Saccharomyces cerevisiae S288C: one gene and its partners. The gene in region 1 interacts genetically with each later gene. Each region holds a gene or a part of one and is shown in the gene's direction. Other genes may lie near its edges. The genes, in order: POS5, TKL2 and HXT15.

Evidence for each region.
Region 2: mutations in POS5 (region 1) and TKL2 together harm fitness more than expected from each alone (negative genetic interaction), as found in Saccharomyces cerevisiae (one large-scale study listed by BioGRID).
Region 3: mutations in POS5 (region 1) and HXT15 together harm fitness less than expected from each alone (positive genetic interaction), as found in Saccharomyces cerevisiae (one large-scale study listed by BioGRID).

What each region holds. Positions count from the first base shown.
Region 1 is NC_001148.4:189,777-193,232, forward strand, and holds POS5 (NADH kinase), read left to right. Parts: upstream 1-1,629; coding exon 1,630-2,874; downstream 2,875-3,456. Other genes in the region: GUP2 (putative O-acyltransferase), read left to right, coding at 1-1,207. UniProt on the Saccharomyces cerevisiae protein: Phosphorylates both NADH and NAD(+), with a twofold preference for NADH. Anti-oxidant factor and key source of the cellular reductant NADPH.
Region 2 is NC_001134.8:474,623-478,381, reverse strand, and holds the start of TKL2 (transketolase TKL2), read left to right. Parts: upstream 1-1,944; coding exon 1,945-3,759. Other genes in the region: TEF2 (translation elongation factor EF-1 alpha), read right to left, coding at 1-711. UniProt on the Saccharomyces cerevisiae protein: Catalyzes the transfer of a two-carbon ketol group from a ketose donor to an aldose acceptor, via a covalent intermediate with the cofactor thiamine pyrophosphate.
Region 3 is NC_001136.10:11,630-15,388, reverse strand, and holds HXT15 (hexose transporter HXT15), read left to right. Parts: upstream 1-2,028; coding exon 2,029-3,732; downstream 3,733-3,759. UniProt on the Saccharomyces cerevisiae protein: Probable glucose transporter.

The sequences.
Region 1 (3,456 bases):
GTCCTATGGTATCTTTACACTATTCATCAATCAAAAAATGAAAAATCTCCCCTTTAATAATATTGCTATCATCCTAAGTCCCATGGATCAATGGTATAAGGGTATCGTTCCTCGATGGGATTTTTTTTTCAATTTTACATTATTGCGTTTGTTAAGTTACTCCATGGATTTTTTGGAAAGATGGCATGAACAATTGAGCCGCCAACCTTCGATAGATTACGATGATAGACGACCTGAATTCAGAAAAAGTTTATCTGGTTCTACTCTACAAACCATTTATGAGTCAGGTAAGAATGTTCTGGAGGAAAAGGAACGACTGGTAGCAGAACATCACATCCAGGATTACAACTTTATCAATTTTATCGCTTATATTACTTACGCGCCATTGTTTTTAGTGGGCCCAATTATCACTTTTAATGACTACCTTTATCAATCAGAAAATAAGCTTCCTTCGCTAACGAAAAAAAACATAGGCTTCTATGCCCTCAAAGTATTTTCGAGTTTGCTTTTGATGGAAATTATCCTACATTATATCTATGTGGGTGCAATAGCAAGGACCAAGGCATGGAACAATGATACACCCTTGCAACAGGCTATGATCGCGCTGTTCAACTTGAACATTATGTATTTAAAACTTTTGATCCCATGGAGGCTCTTTCGGCTGTGGGCCATGGTCGATGGTATTGATGCACCTGAAAATATGCTACGATGTGTGGATAATAATTATAGTACAGTGGGATTCTGGAGAGCCTGGCATACAAGTTTTAACAAGTGGGTAATCCGTTACATCTATGTTCCATTTGGCGGGTCCAATAACAAAATATTAACGAGCTTTGCCGTATTCTCATTTGTAGCAATATGGCATGACATCCAATTACGAGTGTTGTTTTGGGGGTGGTTAACAGTCCTTTTATTATTAGGCGAAACCTACATTACTAACTGTTTTAGTAGATATAGATTCAGAAGCTGGTACAGGTTTGTTTGCGGTATCGGTGCTGCAATAAATATTTGCATGATGATGATTATTAATGTCTATGGATTTTGCTTGGGTGCAGAGGGAACGAAGCTTCTATTGAAGGGCATATTTAACAATTCACATAGTCCGGAGTTTTTGACTGCGGTAATGGTAAGCCTATTTATTGCTGTTCAGGTAATGTTTGAGATTAGAGAAGAAGAAAAAAGACATGGCATCAACTTGAAATGTTGATCTAGTTATTAGATAAGCTATGAAAGTCAATCCTTTTAATCGAGAATGTAAATATGTGGAATACACAATTTTAACCAAAGTACTATATATGCGTTACAAGTAATTTAAATTTAAGTTCACCGAAGTAAAACTAACTGCAAGATTGTTACAAAGAACAATGCACTATTTAAATCACACAATGGCTATTGAAAACTGTAACTGTCAGAAATGCTGCATGTATCTATATGCATCACTAAGTTGCGACTTTTAAGAAACTTCCACAGTTCTCAACTCTTCTTTGTGCTTTTCACACATTTTCACAATTTTCCGAAATCTCCAAATTGAAAAAAAAATAAAAATAAAAAAAGGCAGGAGAAGACTAAGTATTCATTATTCGCTGTTTCATAAATAAAAGGATAAAAAGGTTAAGGATACTGATTAAAATGTTTGTCAGGGTTAAATTGAATAAACCAGTAAAATGGTATAGGTTCTATAGTACGTTGGATTCACATTCCCTAAAGTTACAGAGCGGCTCGAAGTTTGTAAAAATAAAGCCAGTAAATAACTTGAGGAGTAGTTCATCAGCAGATTTCGTGTCCCCACCAAATTCCAAATTACAATCTTTAATCTGGCAGAACCCTTTACAAAATGTTTATATAACTAAAAAACCATGGACTCCATCCACAAGAGAAGCGATGGTTGAATTCATAACTCATTTACATGAGTCATACCCCGAGGTGAACGTCATTGTTCAACCCGATGTGGCAGAAGAAATTTCCCAGGATTTCAAATCTCCTTTGGAGAATGATCCCAACCGACCTCATATACTTTATACTGGTCCTGAACAAGATATCGTAAACAGAACAGACTTATTGGTGACATTGGGAGGTGATGGGACTATTTTACACGGCGTATCAATGTTCGGAAATACGCAAGTTCCTCCGGTTTTAGCATTTGCTCTGGGCACTCTGGGCTTTCTATCACCGTTTGATTTTAAGGAGCATAAAAAGGTCTTTCAGGAAGTAATCAGCTCTAGAGCCAAATGTTTGCATAGAACACGGCTAGAATGTCATTTGAAAAAAAAGGATAGCAACTCATCTATTGTGACCCATGCTATGAATGACATATTCTTACATAGGGGTAATTCCCCTCATCTCACTAACCTGGACATTTTCATTGATGGGGAATTTTTGACAAGAACGACAGCAGATGGTGTTGCATTGGCCACTCCAACGGGTTCCACAGCATATTCATTATCAGCAGGTGGATCTATTGTTTCCCCATTAGTCCCTGCTATTTTAATGACACCAATTTGTCCTCGCTCTTTGTCATTCCGACCACTGATTTTGCCTCATTCATCCCACATTAGGATAAAGATAGGTTCCAAATTGAACCAAAAACCAGTCAACAGTGTGGTAAAACTTTCTGTTGATGGTATTCCTCAACAGGATTTAGATGTTGGTGATGAAATTTATGTTATAAATGAGGTCGGCACTATATACATAGATGGTACTCAGCTTCCGACGACAAGAAAAACTGAAAATGACTTTAATAATTCAAAAAAGCCTAAAAGGTCAGGGATTTATTGTGTCGCCAAGACCGAGAATGACTGGATTAGAGGAATCAATGAACTTTTAGGATTCAATTCTAGCTTTAGGCTGACCAAGAGACAGACTGATAATGATTAAACGCTCTGAATGCAAAGATTCAATGAGATTCTCTAAGAATTCTATTGATAAGATTTAAAGGTATTTGACAAGTAGAGATCTTTATTTTTTCTTGCATTTTGTCTAGAGAAATCTCAACTGACATACTCGACATGAAATTTTTGGTATTGTGTCTTTTATTCTATTGCTTTAAGAAAACTGTGACATATAGGGAAGACATGCTTAACAAGAAGATATAATTATATAATATATATATTATTAATAATAACATCCTTACTGCAGTCCTGTTGTGGGAGAAAATGGAGAGAGACTATGTTTCGTATCAATTCCTAAAATCAAAAAAAAAAAAAAAAAAAAGTTAAACAAGCACTCGCTGTTCATTTGTTTTACAAGTATTCATACTCTAATAGGTCATTGAGCTTCTTTTCTTGAGGAGAGATCCAATTTGAAGTCGGAATAAGATTTGCTTTCATTAGCGTAGGCAATAATTATGAGATAAATGGTGCAGCACTATTAAGTAGTGTGGATTTCAATAATTTCCGAATTAGGAATAAATGCGCTAAATAGACATCCCGTTCTCTTTGGTAATCTGCATAATTCTGA
Region 2 (3,759 bases), on another chromosome or scaffold:
AGATGGTTGTTCAATGGCGTCAATGGCTTCCAACAAAGTCTTACCCTTGACGACACCGGCCTTGGTTTCCTTTTCCCAACCCTTGTACCATGGAGCGTTGGTGGTAGCTTCAATCATGTTGTCACCGTTCCAACCAGAGATTGGGACGAATGGAACAGTCTTTGGGTTGTAACCAACCTTCTTGATAAAGTTGGAGGTTTCCTTGACAATTTCTTGGAATCTGGATTCGTCCCATTTGACGGAGTCCATCTTGTTGACAGCAACAATCAATTGTCTAACACCCAAGGTGAAAGCCAACAAAGCGTGTTCTCTGGTTTGACCATCCTTAGAGATACCGGCTTCGAATTCACCGACACCACCAGCAATAATCAAGATAGCACAGTCAGCTTGAGAAGTACCAGTAATCATGTTCTTGATGAAATCTCTGTGACCTGGAGCATCAATAACGGTAACTTGGTACTTTGGAGTTTCGAACTTCCACAAAGCAATATCGATAGTGATACCTCTTTCTCTTTCAGCCTTTAACTTGTCCAAAACCCAAGCGTACTTGAAAGAACCCTTACCTAATTCAGCGGCTTCCTTTTCGAACTTTTCGATGGTTCTCTTGTCAATACCACCACACTTGTAAATCAAATGACCGGTAGTGGTAGACTTACCAGAATCGACATGACCGATAACGACAACGTTAATGTGAGACTTCTCTTTACCCATGTTTAGTTAATTATAGTTCGTTGACCGTATATTCTAAAAACAAGTACTCCTTAAAAAAAAACCTTGAAGGGAATAAACAAGTAGAATAGATAGAGAGAAAAATAGAAAATGCAAGAGAATTTATATATTAGAAAGAGAGAAAGAAAAATGGAAAAAAAAAAATAGGAAAAGCCAGAAATAGCACTAGAAGGAGCGACACCAGAAAAGAAGGTGATGGAACCAATTTAGCTATATATAGTTAACTACCGGCTCGATCATCTCTGCCTCCAGCATAGTCGAAGAAGAATTTTTTTTTTCTTGAGGCTTCTGTCAGCAACTCGTATTTTTTCTTTCTTTTTTGGTGAGCCTAAAAAGTTCCCACGTTCTCTTGTACGACGCCGTCACAAACAACCTTATGGGTAATTTGTCGCGGTCTGGGTGTATAAATGTGTGGGTGCAACATGAATGTACGGAGGTAGTTTGCTGATTGGCGGTCTATAGATACCTTGGTTATGGCGCCCTCACAGCCGGCAGGGGAAGCGCCTACGCTTGACATCTACTATATGTAAGTATACGGCCCCATATATATATATATATATATACATTAAACATTATTGGTAAATACACCAGCAACCGCATGATTGATGTTATGGTGGAATATAGGTAGCTAAAAAAACTCTACATAACAAAGTAATTGTTTACATTGATCTTGACCTATCAAATTTCTTTCACATTTTGGGTTTATAGGTCAATATATTGATATATATGTGTAGCTATTTTCGCTTGCTTTCAAGTCACTTCTTAATGGTGGCTCGCTGTCTCTCCTTTGCTAGGGACAAAAATTCGCCTTTAATGGCACATATGCCATGCTTTGAACAGGGAACACGATATATAACGTCATTGCTCGGACATGTTTGGGTGGACCTTATTCTACATGTTTTACTTTTCTCGTCATAATGGCGATGACAGGAAGGGCAAGCTCATCTCCCCAGCTTTAAAGGGTAGCTCAAGGAACACCTACTTCTCCTTGTTGGGAGGAGTCCTGAATAAGGAGTGTCGAATATAGGGAGCTTCATTCGTTGTCAAGAGAATACCAGATCACCTGTTTGGATATATAAACGAGTGTAATAATGCAGAATTATTCCATTTATTTCAGTCGTATATTCAATTGGCTTGTCCCCTCTTACTGTAGTCTTCGATTTGTAACCTCTACGTAGACGATTATACCTTACTAATCAAAAAAAGAACAAAAAAATGGCACAGTTCTCCGACATTGATAAACTTGCGGTTTCCACTTTAAGATTACTTTCCGTTGACCAGGTGGAAAGCGCACAATCTGGCCACCCAGGTGCACCACTAGGATTGGCACCAGTTGCCCATGTAATTTTCAAGCAACTGCGCTGTAACCCTAACAATGAACATTGGATCAATAGAGACAGGTTTGTTCTGTCGAACGGTCACTCATGCGCTCTTCTGTACTCAATGCTCCATCTATTAGGATACGATTACTCTATCGAGGACTTGAGACAATTTAGACAAGTAAACTCAAGGACACCGGGTCATCCAGAATTCCACTCAGCGGGAGTGGAAATCACTTCCGGTCCGCTAGGCCAGGGTATCTCAAATGCTGTTGGTATGGCAATAGCGCAGGCCAACTTTGCCGCCACTTATAACGAGGATGGCTTTCCCATTTCCGACTCATATACGTTTGCTATTGTAGGGGATGGTTGCTTACAAGAGGGTGTTTCTTCGGAGACCTCTTCCTTAGCGGGACATCTGCAATTGGGTAACTTGATTACGTTTTATGACAGTAATAGCATTTCCATTGACGGTAAAACCTCGTACTCGTTCGACGAAGATGTTTTGAAGCGATACGAGGCATATGGTTGGGAAGTCATGGAAGTCGATAAAGGAGACGACGATATGGAATCCATTTCTAGCGCTTTGGAAAAGGCAAAACTATCGAAGGACAAGCCAACCATAATCAAGGTAACTACTACAATTGGATTTGGGTCCCTACAACAGGGTACTGCTGGTGTTCATGGGTCCGCTTTGAAGGCAGATGATGTTAAACAGTTGAAGAAGAGGTGGGGGTTTGACCCAAATAAATCATTTGTAGTACCTCAAGAGGTGTACGATTATTATAAGAAGACTGTTGTGGAACCCGGTCAAAAACTTAATGAGGAATGGGATAGGATGTTTGAAGAATACAAAACCAAATTTCCCGAGAAGGGTAAAGAATTGCAAAGAAGATTGAATGGTGAGTTACCGGAAGGTTGGGAAAAGCATTTACCGAAGTTTACTCCGGACGACGATGCTCTGGCAACAAGAAAGACATCCCAGCAGGTGCTGACGAACATGGTCCAAGTTTTGCCTGAATTGATCGGTGGTTCTGCCGATTTGACACCTTCGAATCTGACAAGGTGGGAAGGCGCGGTAGATTTCCAACCTCCCATTACCCAACTAGGTAACTATGCAGGAAGGTACATTAGATACGGTGTGAGGGAACACGGAATGGGTGCCATTATGAACGGTATCTCTGCCTTTGGTGCAAACTACAAGCCTTACGGTGGTACCTTTTTGAACTTCGTCTCTTATGCTGCAGGAGCCGTTAGGTTAGCCGCCTTGTCTGGTAATCCAGTCATTTGGGTTGCAACACATGACTCTATCGGGCTTGGTGAGGATGGTCCAACGCACCAACCTATTGAAACTCTGGCTCACTTGAGGGCTATTCCAAACATGCATGTATGGAGACCTGCTGATGGTAACGAAACTTCTGCTGCGTATTATTCTGCTATCAAATCTGGTCGAACACCATCTGTTGTGGCTTTATCACGACAGAATCTTCCTCAATTGGAGCATTCCTCTTTTGAAAAAGCCTTGAAGGGTGGCTATGTGATCCATGACGTGGAGAATCCTGATATTATCCTGGTGTCAACAGGATCAGAAGTCTCCATTTCTATAGATGCAGCCAAAAAATTGTACGATACTAAAAAAATCAAAGCAAGAGTTGTTTCCCTGCCAGACTTTTATACTTTTGACAGGCAAAGTGAAGAATACAGATTCTCT
Region 3 (3,759 bases), on another chromosome or scaffold:
TCAATGAATCTCTAATTTTTTCCGCCCGCCTATTGAACTTTTACTTTGTCATTAATCTATTCTGAAATAGGTACAGAGCGACGCCAGTGTAAACATATGTGTGATGGACATCAGCATTCAATGTATATCTTATCACACCAGTTTATCCAAAGATAGATGCAGTTTTGAAATTGGTTACTTAGAATATTTCTACTACATTTCGATAACAAATATAACTATTTTGAATTTAAAAGTTGAGTATCCAAAAATTTTAGAAATACATACAATTACTTCCCAATTACTTCCCAAATATTCTCCCCCCTGGTTTGATATCATAAAAGCACCTTATGGCAACAAGATTCCCGGGATAGTAATGCTATTTTAATGTATATCTATTTCTCGAATACTTGTATCTTTACTCCACTACCCCTATGCAAGAAGATAAGCGATAGTTTTTGTTCCTTCCTCTTCCTACTCTGTTAATTAACTGAAAATTATTTATATTGAAAAGGTACTTGTAGCAAATTAGACAAGGAATTCTCCTGGTATAAAGTTAGAGAAACAGAAATATGAAACGGCCACCCCAGGTATGAAATATTATCTTAAGAAGAGCCATGAACACACATGAATAGATTCTTGAGACATGCTTAGGGTAACAAAGACTGTAACGCCTTGTTGCAATACTGCTTTATTCAAATTTTTAAATTGTACGGAATTGTGGTAAGGAGAATGTGCAAATAACTTAGCATGAAACGGTGCTATAGTTGAATCATTGTATGAGGTAACATCACTTCAACGAAAAGAAGAATAAAATTGACCTGCACATGGAGAAAGCGTAATATATAAAAAATGTTTACAATTTTGGCGCACTATATGGGAGAACAGCTGCTGGATAATATTATGCCCTTACTTCATTTCACCATATCCGTTTACAGTTCAAATCTCGCCGTCGAGCCATAAATTCTCAAAATTCCTTTGCAAATATTTTGCTTACCTGTAACCGGCAGCTTACATTCTTCCGTCATAATTTCTCAGACGGATGACATAAACCATTTTTTCAGAATCCTCGATAACATAATCGATCAAAACAGTAATAAACATTCTCTTGCACAAAATGGACTTTGGCAGCAAATCCTGAAATATTGTGGAGTATTGCCAGAGGTAAAAGCAACGTTGAACAAATTATGACACTAGACCTCTTAGGCATAAAGATGACATCATCTAGGTACTCGTAAAGATCCTAACCACAGATTCCACCTTAAAAGACGACAATAGTAACTTTGTCCTTGATCTGGGTTACTAAATCAGCGATATGATCATTAAAGTGAATATCCCCTTCTTAAAATGTACCAAATATCTTATACGTTTGCAGTTTTTCTTTTTCTTTTTCTTTATTTCTTTGGTAAGGACTAGGTAATTATTTCCGTATTTGGCTCCTTTGGCGCTTAAAAAATCTTGTACGCAAATTTCCACAAGATATTGCGTGACAATTACTATTACTGAAGTTGAACTTGTTTCATGTCTCCGCCTGTGTTAACTCCGTTTTGCTTAACTCCGTCTCGTATTACAGTAAATTCATGATGTGCCTATGAATATGCAGCTAGCCTGCTGCAGGCAAAATTATTTTTAGCTTTGTGCGCTACAGTGGTAGTAACTTAAAACTTAAAAGCTAAAATGCAAAAACAGTAGAGTGCGGGGTATGCTTTTCTTTTGAACGTGCACTGCGCAGAGGCACAATTTAGCAAAGAAGTCAGGCAAGGTAGATGATGTAAACAAACGAGGACTTGTACTGCGCATCTTGAACCTTTCAATATCATAAGTGCAATCAGCTAAAGGTTTGATTTTCCGAATGCTCTGCAAAAAAGTTAAACATGGTTATATAACTCAAGTATGATAACTCCAGTGTTGGCCTGTAATCACCAACTTTCAAACGTATAAAGAAAGTAAGTAATTCATTGTTTGCTTCAGGTTTAGTCTTATTACTATCCATAGAAGTAAAACTATTGATATTATTGACAGAAAAGGAGGAAAGGAAACTAAAGGAAAAAAATGGCAAGCGAACAGTCCTCACCAGAAATTAATGCAGATAATCTAAACAGTAGTGCAGCTGACGTTCATGTACAGCCACCCGGAGAGAAAGAATGGTCAGACGGGTTTTATGACAAAGAAGTCATTAATGGAAATACGCCAGACGCACCGAAGAGAGGCTTTTTAGGTTACCTTATTATCTACTTACTATGCTATCCTGTATCCTTTGGCGGTTTTTTACCTGGTTGGGATAGTGGTATTACTGCAGGCTTCATCAATATGGATAACTTTAAAATGAATTTTGGTTCTTACAAGCACAGTACTGGTGAGTATTATTTGAGCAACGTGCGTATGGGTCTTCTCGTGGCCATGTTCAGTGTAGGATGTTCCATTGGCGGTGTTGCTTTTGCGAGACTTGCTGATACTTTAGGTAGAAGGCTAGCAATTGTAATCGTGGTTTTGGTATATATGGTTGGTGCAATTATTCAGATCAGTTCGAATCACAAATGGTACCAATACTTTGTCGGTAAGATCATCTACGGTCTTGGTGCTGGTGGCTGTTCGGTGTTGTGTCCAATGCTTTTATCTGAAATAGCCCCCACAGATTTGAGAGGTGGACTTGTCTCATTGTACCAACTTAACATGACCTTCGGTATTTTCTTGGGTTATTGTAGCGTTTATGGAACAAGGAAGTATAGTAATACTGCGCAATGGAGGATTCCTGTGGGACTATGCTTTCTGTGGGCTCTAATTATCATCGTTGGCATGTTATTAGTTCCAGAGTCCCCAAGATATCTGATTGAATGTGAGAGACATGAAGAGGCCTGTGTCTCCATCGCCAAGATCAACAAGGTTTCACCAGAGGATCCATGGGTACTCAAACAGGCTGATGAAATCAACGCCGGTGTCCTTGCCCAAAGAGAACTAGGGGAAGCCTCATGGAAAGAACTTTTCTCCGTCAAAACAAAAGTCCTTCAACGTTTGATCACAGGTATTCTTGTGCAAACCTTTTTGCAACTTACTGGTGAAAACTACTTCTTCTTCTACGGAACTACCATTTTCAAATCAGTTGGGCTTACTGATGGGTTTGAGACTTCGATCGTCCTAGGTACAGTGAATTTCTTCTCCACTATTATTGCTGTTATGGTCGTAGACAAAATAGGCCGTCGTAAATGTCTGTTATTCGGAGCGGCTTCAATGATGGCTTGTATGGTCATATTTGCAAGTATCGGGGTAAAATGTCTTTACCCTCATGGCCAGGATGGTCCATCCTCGAAAGGTGCAGGTAATGCCATGATTGTGTTCACATGCTTCTATATATTCTGCTTTGCAACGACATGGGCCCCTGTTGCTTATATTGTGGTTGCCGAGTCATTCCCTTCGAAGGTCAAATCTAAAGCAATGTCAATTTCGACTGCATTCAACTGGTTATGGCAATTCTTGATTGGTTTTTTCACACCATTCATTACTGGGTCTATCCACTTCTATTATGGTTATGTGTTCGTAGGTTGTTTGGTTGCTATGTTTTTGTACGTTTTCTTCTTTTTACCAGAAACAATTGGTCTATCTTTGGAGGAAATCCAGTTACTATATGAAGAAGGTATAAAACCATGGAAATCTGCATCTTGGGTACCACCCTCAAGGAGAGGAGCTTCTTCCAGGGAAACTGAGGCTAAGAAGAAAAGCTGGAAAGAAGTTTTGAAGTTCCCAAAGAGTTTTAATTGATCAATATGCGCGCTTGATAAACATGCT